2 linked regions of the Bombyx mori genome follow. The protein of the gene in region 2 purifies or fractionates together with the protein of the main gene of each other region. This does not show direct contact. Links are inferred from orthologs where the notes say so. Each region holds a gene or a part of one and is shown on either strand. Other genes may lie near its edges.

Region 1 (4,278 bases), on a different chromosome or scaffold from region 2:
CGTAAAAGTTAGCTCATATTTACATTGTATGGAGTGGGATCGTTTGCCTACGTTTGCCTTTAGGGGCGTTGTTCCAACTGCATACAAAATCGCGTTAAATTTTACGCTATCGAGAACGTTAAAAAACTCGCACTAAGCACACAGGTGGCTCATAATATCAAAACGTGAAGTGCCTTTAAGCGTAAACTGTGCCCTCGAACCGGAAAACATGATATGACAGACATAGATGGGATCGCAGTACCTACACAATTCACAATGTGCCCCTACCCCCTTACTTAGATTTCCAAAAAAAATATTCTTTGCAGCTGAAATAAAAAATCACTTATTTGTTCATTCTGAAGATTTTTAGAATATTTAAAATGCAATGTCAACGAAAGATTGGTATTATTATTATTATATTTTTTTTTTATTGCTTACATTGGGACGAGCTCACATCCCACCTGGTGTTAAGTGGTTACTGGAGCCCATAGACATCTACAACGTAAATGCACCACCCACCTTGAGATATAAGTTCTAAGGTTTCAAGTATAGTTATAACGGCTGCCCCACCCTTCAAACCGAAACGCATTACTGCTTCACGGCAGATTTAGACAGGGTGGTGGTACCTATCCGCGCGGACTCACAAGAGGTCCTACCACCACGAATTACGCAATTTATAATTTTGCGGGTTTGATTTTTATTACACGATGTTATTCCGTCACCGTGGAAGTCAGTCGTGAGCATTTGTTATGTACGTATTTCAGTAGAAAAATTGGTACCCGCCTGAGATTCGAAGACTAGTGCATCGCTCAATACGAATGCACCAGACGTCTTATCTTTTAGGCCACGACGACTATAATATATCAGCTGCATTATAGCTAAAGTTATGTTTATCTATTTTCTAGGAAGATACTTCGGTACTAGGTTAGTAAAAATGATTTGCGTTCGAGTACTAAGAGAGTTCGAAGTGACAACATCTAGAACATACAAGGATCTCAAACTATCGATAGCTATATCTGTGTCTCCATTGGATGGGTTCCCAGTTAAATTACATCCCAGGAAAATTAAAGAGAAACAGTAATCTGGTAAAATGGTATAATTACTAAAAATTGTAATAAATTTTTAAGAAATGGGATTTCAGAATAAAATATTAAAATTTAACAGTATTTCATTAAGTTTTGCGAATCGCAAGCTTAATTAACACTATTAAACCATAGCCGACTTAACCTAATAGGTGTAAGGCTCTAATAAAGAATTTAAAAAAAAACGGTTTAATTTCGTGTGTATTATTTACTGGTGTTATTAGTCGAATTTTACCATCGCACCGCCTGTCACCAGAATAAAATTCATCCATAATAACTGGATCCACTGCGTTCGTCTACAGTGTGTTTCCTGTGTTCTATTTAGCCACGTACCATCCGGCTTTGTAATGAGGTTCCCTCTACGCTGATTCCCGAGCGCTATGGTAATATGTCCTTCTTCAAACAAGTATCGTGGAGAGTACATAACGGTAGGCAGCGGTTGGTCTGGCTGTTTCCTACTTCAGTGGTCTGGCTGTGCCCCGATTTGTGAATTAAATTAATGTTTTTAAAATGTCAATGTCAAAAATACACATTGTCAAATGACAAAAGTTCACGACTGATTTTGACTTGAGAGATACAGTAAATAATAGGTTATTTTATTACCTACTTCGGAATTTGGCACAATAACCACTTTTAGAAATCTACTTCCACTATTCGAACGAAATCAATGATATAGAATAAAAATTTACTGCAATGGGCTCACTTTCTAGATTTCATAAAATAGCCCTCATCAGCTTAGGTGCTGTAGGTGGTGGTTTAGCGTACTATCAGATAAACAGCGGGAAAAATGAGAAGAAATACGGTGCTTATAATTCATGGACTACAAATTTTACTCCAAGCGTGAAATGGGACAAGAACTGGGACCAGTAAGTAATTACAAACTTTTTTATTAATACTTTTAAACGAAGAGTGTCTGACACCATATCATACATACATTTACGGCGGATAGTAGCTGTAGAGTGTTATTACATAGGTAGTTAATATTCATTAGTGGCCGTAACTAGATTTTATTCGGTTAATATTCTCATGGCCTCCTAAAGAAAGGTTATTCATTATTTGAGTTATTTAAGTATACTTAATTTTCGTAAAAACAAAAATCGCAAGTCATATATGTCATTGAATAGCATTGGAAGAAACAACAACAAGAGTGTATCATTGGCAAGTAGGTACAAACATAATAATATCTAAATTCACTTTGTTCTGTATATATTTTTAATGTTTCGAGAATAAGCTAAACTATAATAGATGATTTTGAATTAATATATAAGCATAGGAATATTTTATGCTGTTCCCCCTTCCATTGTCACATGATTGATATAATTTGACCTGTTTAAAATAACCACAATGAAGAGCTTAAAATAACTAATGATTCAGTTTTATCTTTGTAAAGATGTTATGGCATTTCAAGTAGTAGTAATAAATATAAAAAATAAAAAAAAATTATATTTAAAAGAATAATTGAAATATTTTCCAGTAGAGAACCAGAGTCGATAGTTAGACCAAAAAGGTCAGATGAACCAGAAGAAGAGAACAAATACAATGAGAAATTGGAAAAAGCAAGAAGCAAAGCTGTCAGACATCTATTCCTGATCAGACATGGCCAGTACAATGTGCAGGGAGAAACAGACAAAGAAAGAACCCTCACGGACCTAGGTAACTTATTTACTTTTCAAATCATGTTGTAGTTTAAAAGAAAATAAAATTTATTCACAAACCAAATCTATATATTAATATACGTGAAGCAAAAACTTTGTACCCCTTTTTTTTACGAAAATTGTGCGGACGGAGAAGTATCAAATATTAAAAAAAAATGTATTAATAATACATTAAATCAATAAAAAAAATATTACACACACTACCATGTACCTATTTGACATACACACATATATACTCTTTAATTATTAATCCTCTTTAGTTCTGTCGTGAAACTTATCTAAGTTCTGATCTGATGGAAGTTGCAAATGTATTGTATAACAGCTGACCCAAACTCTGAAGTTTCAAGATGGGCAGAGTCTCATGGCATGTTTATGGGCTCTGGTAACTGCTTAATACCAGATGGGCCATGAGCTTTTTTATGACCATGAACGAATCATAATATTTTGTGTTATGCATTTATGATACATTATTTTTAGGTAGAATCCAAGCAGACCTAACAGGTCAGAGACTAGCATCCTTAGATATAAAATGGGATCTACTTGTTAAATCTACAATGACAAGAGCACAGGAAACTGCTGCCATTATAGCAAAGCACTTAGACAAAGATATTGAAGTTAAAGATTGTCAATTATTAGAAGAAGGTGCTCCGATACCCCCTGAACCTCCCGTGGGACACTGGAGGCCTGAACCAAGAGTAAGTAATCTACTAATAATATTCATAAACAATAAAATCATTCAGTACAATTTAAAATGATAAAAATTGAAATTAAGCGAGTTCAAGGAGATCCCTGTTTTTTTATTGCTTTGATAATAGATGATTGCAGGTATGAATTTAAAACATGATGTTATTCATTCTTTGTGTAAGTCATTAGTGAATAGCTTTTTTTTTTTTATTGCTTTGATGTGTGGACGAGCTCTCAGCCCACCTGGTGTTAAGTGGTTACTGGAGCCCATAGACATCTACAACGTAAATGCGCCACACACCTTTAGATTGTATTTCTTTTATTTAGAATAATTAGTGTTTGCCAGCAACCACGCTTGATATCATTACACTATTTCATCTCTTAGTCTGGAATTATTTAAATTTAAACAGTGTCATTACAGGTATAATAGTTAGAACCTTATATTGCATGCGCTCACAAATAGATAATTTATTTAGAAGAAAAAATCAACACTGCATCCTGCTATTTACATAGCATGTGTTTTTGTTGTTGTAGTTAGATATTTATATTTAGTTGTTTGGATTCATTATACTGACCAAGACTGGCATTATTCCATTTAATATACTAACCGCTTGCAGAATTTATATTGAGATGTAACTTCTAATGTTTAATATTCTACAATAATATTAATGTGGGAGTAAAATTAGATTGTAAATATATTAGATAGGTAACTTTTAACGTTTAATATTCTACATATTTTAATATTAATGTGGGAGTAAAATTAGATTGTAAATAAATTAGATAGGTAACTTTTAACGTTTAATATTCTACATATTTTAATATTAATGTGGGAGTAAAATTAGATTGTAAATAAATTAGATAGGTAACTTTTAATGTTT
Region 2 (3,568 bases):
CGTTTCTGCACTATCCGTGCTACATCCTGCTATCCGATACTCACTTCCCCGATGTTAGTCCTTAACTAAATTTGAATTAACGATGTCTATTTAGTGTACCCGGGTTTGGGCGATCCCCGGTCTTACTCAATATCTTGAATAATACTGACGTTTGGCGCTCATGATCTAATTCTTGTTTAAAAATAGTAGAATAACGAAACTCCAAAAACAATCAAATTACTAGCTGAAATGAATCATACAGTTACAGTGATTAACAAACTTGTTTTTATACTGTATCATGAATTTGTAAATGATTTAGAGACTCAAGAAATATCCAACAGAATTAATCGGGTTCTTAGAATTACGGAAAAAAACTGCTACTCGTCTCAGAATGACTATGCATATTTATTTATTTTAAAAACCTAAATATAACAAATAAAATGAAAAACCTAGTCAAAAAACACAGATATTGTATATACCTAATATTTTTTGCAATTATCAGGTGACTTTGCGTTTTGAACGGATTTGAGAATTGACGATTCTTTGTGATTGATATACGTCAATGAAGATTAGCTTAAAAGTAATAATTTTTGCTTTTCAAACACGTGACGTATTTCAAAACACATAAGGCACACACTGTTCATCAAGTAATTTAAGATTTTTGAACAATTCCTTTAATTATTAAGCCTGTAGCCCGGCCTTTAGATTAAGGTTAGGATTTCGAAATAAGATTAAAATTGCGCTCCTAATTCCTAAGATATACTTAGCCATTCGAAACTTTAAGGGTGGACAGCTGTGGAGGAATTTAAAAATAGAAGTACTCGCATTTGCATAGTAGTTAATACAGATAAACGAGCTAAAGACCTAGCTAATGTTATACGGTTTTTTTTTTTAATTCTTAGATGCGTGGACGACCTCACAGCCCCCCTGGTTTTAAGTGGTTACTGGAGCCCATAGACATCTACAACGTAAATGCGCCACACACCTTGAGATATAGTTCTAAGGTCTCAATATAGTCACAACGGCAGCCCCACCTTTCAAACCGAAACGCATTACTGCTTCACGGCAGAAATAGGCTGGGCGATGATACCTACCCGTGCGGACTCACAAGAGGTCCTGCCACCAGTAAAATTATATTGTTATAATATATGTATTATACATATGTAAGTATTATATTAATTCTGGTATTAAGATAAATGGTATGATATGGTATTTGTGCTCAGGCGATGTTCACGAGCGGCCTCAAGGAGTGTGAAATGTCAAGGGTCCGGCTACAAGGCGTGTGTCCTTCAGCGATGGCCTGGCTGATATACTTTATGTACACGGGGAAGATCAGGATAACTGAAGTGACGGTCTGCCAGCTGCTCCCGGCCGCCACCATGTTCCAGGTTAGTATTTGATACTGCTTACCACATAAATCGTCTTACACTAGATTTTGCAAATGCCACAACGCATATATAACTCAAAATTGCGACCGTCCATCTCGTGAATTCACGCTTCTGTTGCAGCGTGTAGTGGACATTCTCATTGTGATGCCTAAGGGCTCGGGTAACGCCTCTCCGAAAATAATAATTACTGACAGAAATACTGTTTTTTTTTGGAACGAAGTTCCTTATGGGACGATGCGGAGGAGTACCCTACCCGTAAAAAACGTCCGTAACGTAAGATTTTTATTAGTAATGCACACAGTGTACGACTTAACTTTGTAATAGCGTACAAAAAATAACATATTTTATTATCATTCATTGACCACGATCTCAGAGCGTTCGTTTGCGCAATACACTAACTCTTATGCAAACAACTATGAATGAAGTGTACCACAACACGTTCGCACGTTACCGAATGACCGTTGTTGCGACCGGGTCGTTGCGAAACCTCTAGTTTTATTTTCTTTATAGCTCGAATAGAACTTAAAATTAATATTTTTATAAATAGGAACTTCGTTCCTATCCGGTGTCCAACGACACCACACATCTTTTTTTTGTGAACGTAGAGAAATCGAAATACAGAAAATTCTAGCAATATCTCGAAAATAGGTTGTTTTAGAAATAGATTAGGAAGATAAGATTTTCTAAAAAAAATCTTTTCGAATAGTTTCAAAGTTTGTCAACATCCGTTAACTAATATCTTAATTTTGTCCAAGTTCCAATTAAACCTCCAATAGGACATAAGAAAACCGTTCCCGGAATCGAAACAGCCATGCTAGTAGAGAACTAACTAATAATAAACTGAAAACAAATTTTAAAAAAATTGTTGTTGCTTATTTATGTGGACGAGCTCACGGCCCTGACCTCACGTGGTGTTAAGTGGTTACCGGAGCCTGTAGATATCTACAACGTAAATGCCGCCACCCACCTTGAGATATGAGCTCTAGTCTCAGTATAGTTACAACGGCTGCCCCACCCTTCAAACCGAAACGCATTACTGCTTCACGGCAGAAATAGGCAGGGGCAAATTATAATTTTGCGGGTTTGATTTTTATTACACGATGTTATTCCATCACCGTCGAAGTCGATCGAGAACATTTGTTAAGTACGTACATATTTCATTAGAAGAATTGTTATTTGCCAGCGAGATTCGAACACCGGTGCATCGCTAAATACGAATGCACCGGACGTCTTATCATTTAGACCACGACGACTTCAATGTTAAATAATATTACGCGAACCCGCAATCTGAAATGAAAGTAACTGAAACCCCGCGTCTCACGAAATAAAATAAACACTGCTCGCTCCGTTTTGTGTTACATTACGCGCTTAGCTATAAACTAAATCGTTTCTTGTTACATTGCGCGTGCTCAGATCGCGACTTGTCCTCGCTTTCGGCAACAGTTTTCTTACACCGGACATAATAAATAATGTACAATGGTACATTGTGCACCAAGGGAGAAAAGTTGGACATTTCCTCCCGCGGTGCACATACTATTTTTTCTCCTACCAGGCCGAAAGTTCGTGGAGTACCGAGCCGGGGCCCAGGGGCGAAGCCCTGGCAGGGGGGGGGGAGCCCCACGTTCTCATAAAAAAACAATTTAACTGTTTTTTAATTTTTAAATAAACTACTACTAATTGAATAAGAACTGTCTGATGAAGTCATCTTTGTTTAATACTTCACTATTAAATTTTATTGCCTTTTGTTTATTTCACTTTTACACTAAACACAATATTGCAATTACCCGAGCACAACAATGGCGGAGAATTTTAGGTGCGTGAGAGCAGACGTAGACACTAACGCGCATGCGCACTTGTCAGTACCCAGGGAGGAAAAGTTACACTTTCTTCCCTGTACAGCGGGACGAAAACCGAACTTTCGGCGTAGGTAGGAGAAAAAACTATTTGTATTTGTAGTTTTGTTGCATACCAAACGTTGTTTGTTCGTTAAGTTGTTGACTACACTTATTTTAGACGTGTGCCGACAGATAACGAATGTAATAAACGCATGCAGCGCGTTCCTCGAGCGACAGCTGGACCCCTCGAACGCGATCGGCATCGCGAACTTCGCCGAACAACACGGATGCGTTGAACTCAAGAAGAGAGCCAATCAATTTATCGAGAGACATTTCACGCAGGTAAGATTAACTTTTTATTTATTA

What was found. The genes of interacting proteins can lie anywhere in the genome.
Region 1: the proteins of kelch-like ECH-associated protein 1B (region 2) and serine/threonine-protein phosphatase Pgam5, mitochondrial purify together in Homo sapiens (affinity purification with western blotting; 6 studies listed by BioGRID and IntAct, with this or other methods). This does not show direct contact. The link is inferred for Bombyx mori from reciprocal best matches to the Homo sapiens genes KEAP1 and PGAM5.

What each region holds. Positions count from the first base shown.
Region 1 is NC_085122.1:9,467,871-9,472,148, reverse strand, and holds the start of serine/threonine-protein phosphatase Pgam5, mitochondrial, read left to right. Parts: upstream 1-1,466; 5' UTR 1,467-1,754; coding exon 1,755-1,927; intron 1,928-2,535; coding exon 2,536-2,714; intron 2,715-3,193; coding exon 3,194-3,411; intron 3,412-4,278. Other genes in the region: CYP367A1 (uncharacterized protein LOC101741325), read left to right, coding at 885-1,060. UniProt on the Homo sapiens protein: Mitochondrial serine/threonine phosphatase that dephosphorylates various substrates and thus plays a role in different biological processes including cellular senescence or mitophagy. Modulates cellular senescence by regulating mitochondrial dynamics.
Region 2 is NC_085128.1:13,266,577-13,270,144, reverse strand, and holds part of kelch-like ECH-associated protein 1B, read left to right. Parts: intron 1-1,202; coding exon 1,203-1,367; intron 1,368-3,394; coding exon 3,395-3,544; intron 3,545-3,568. UniProt on the Homo sapiens protein: Substrate-specific adapter of a BCR (BTB-CUL3-RBX1) E3 ubiquitin ligase complex that regulates the response to oxidative stress by targeting NFE2L2/NRF2 for ubiquitination.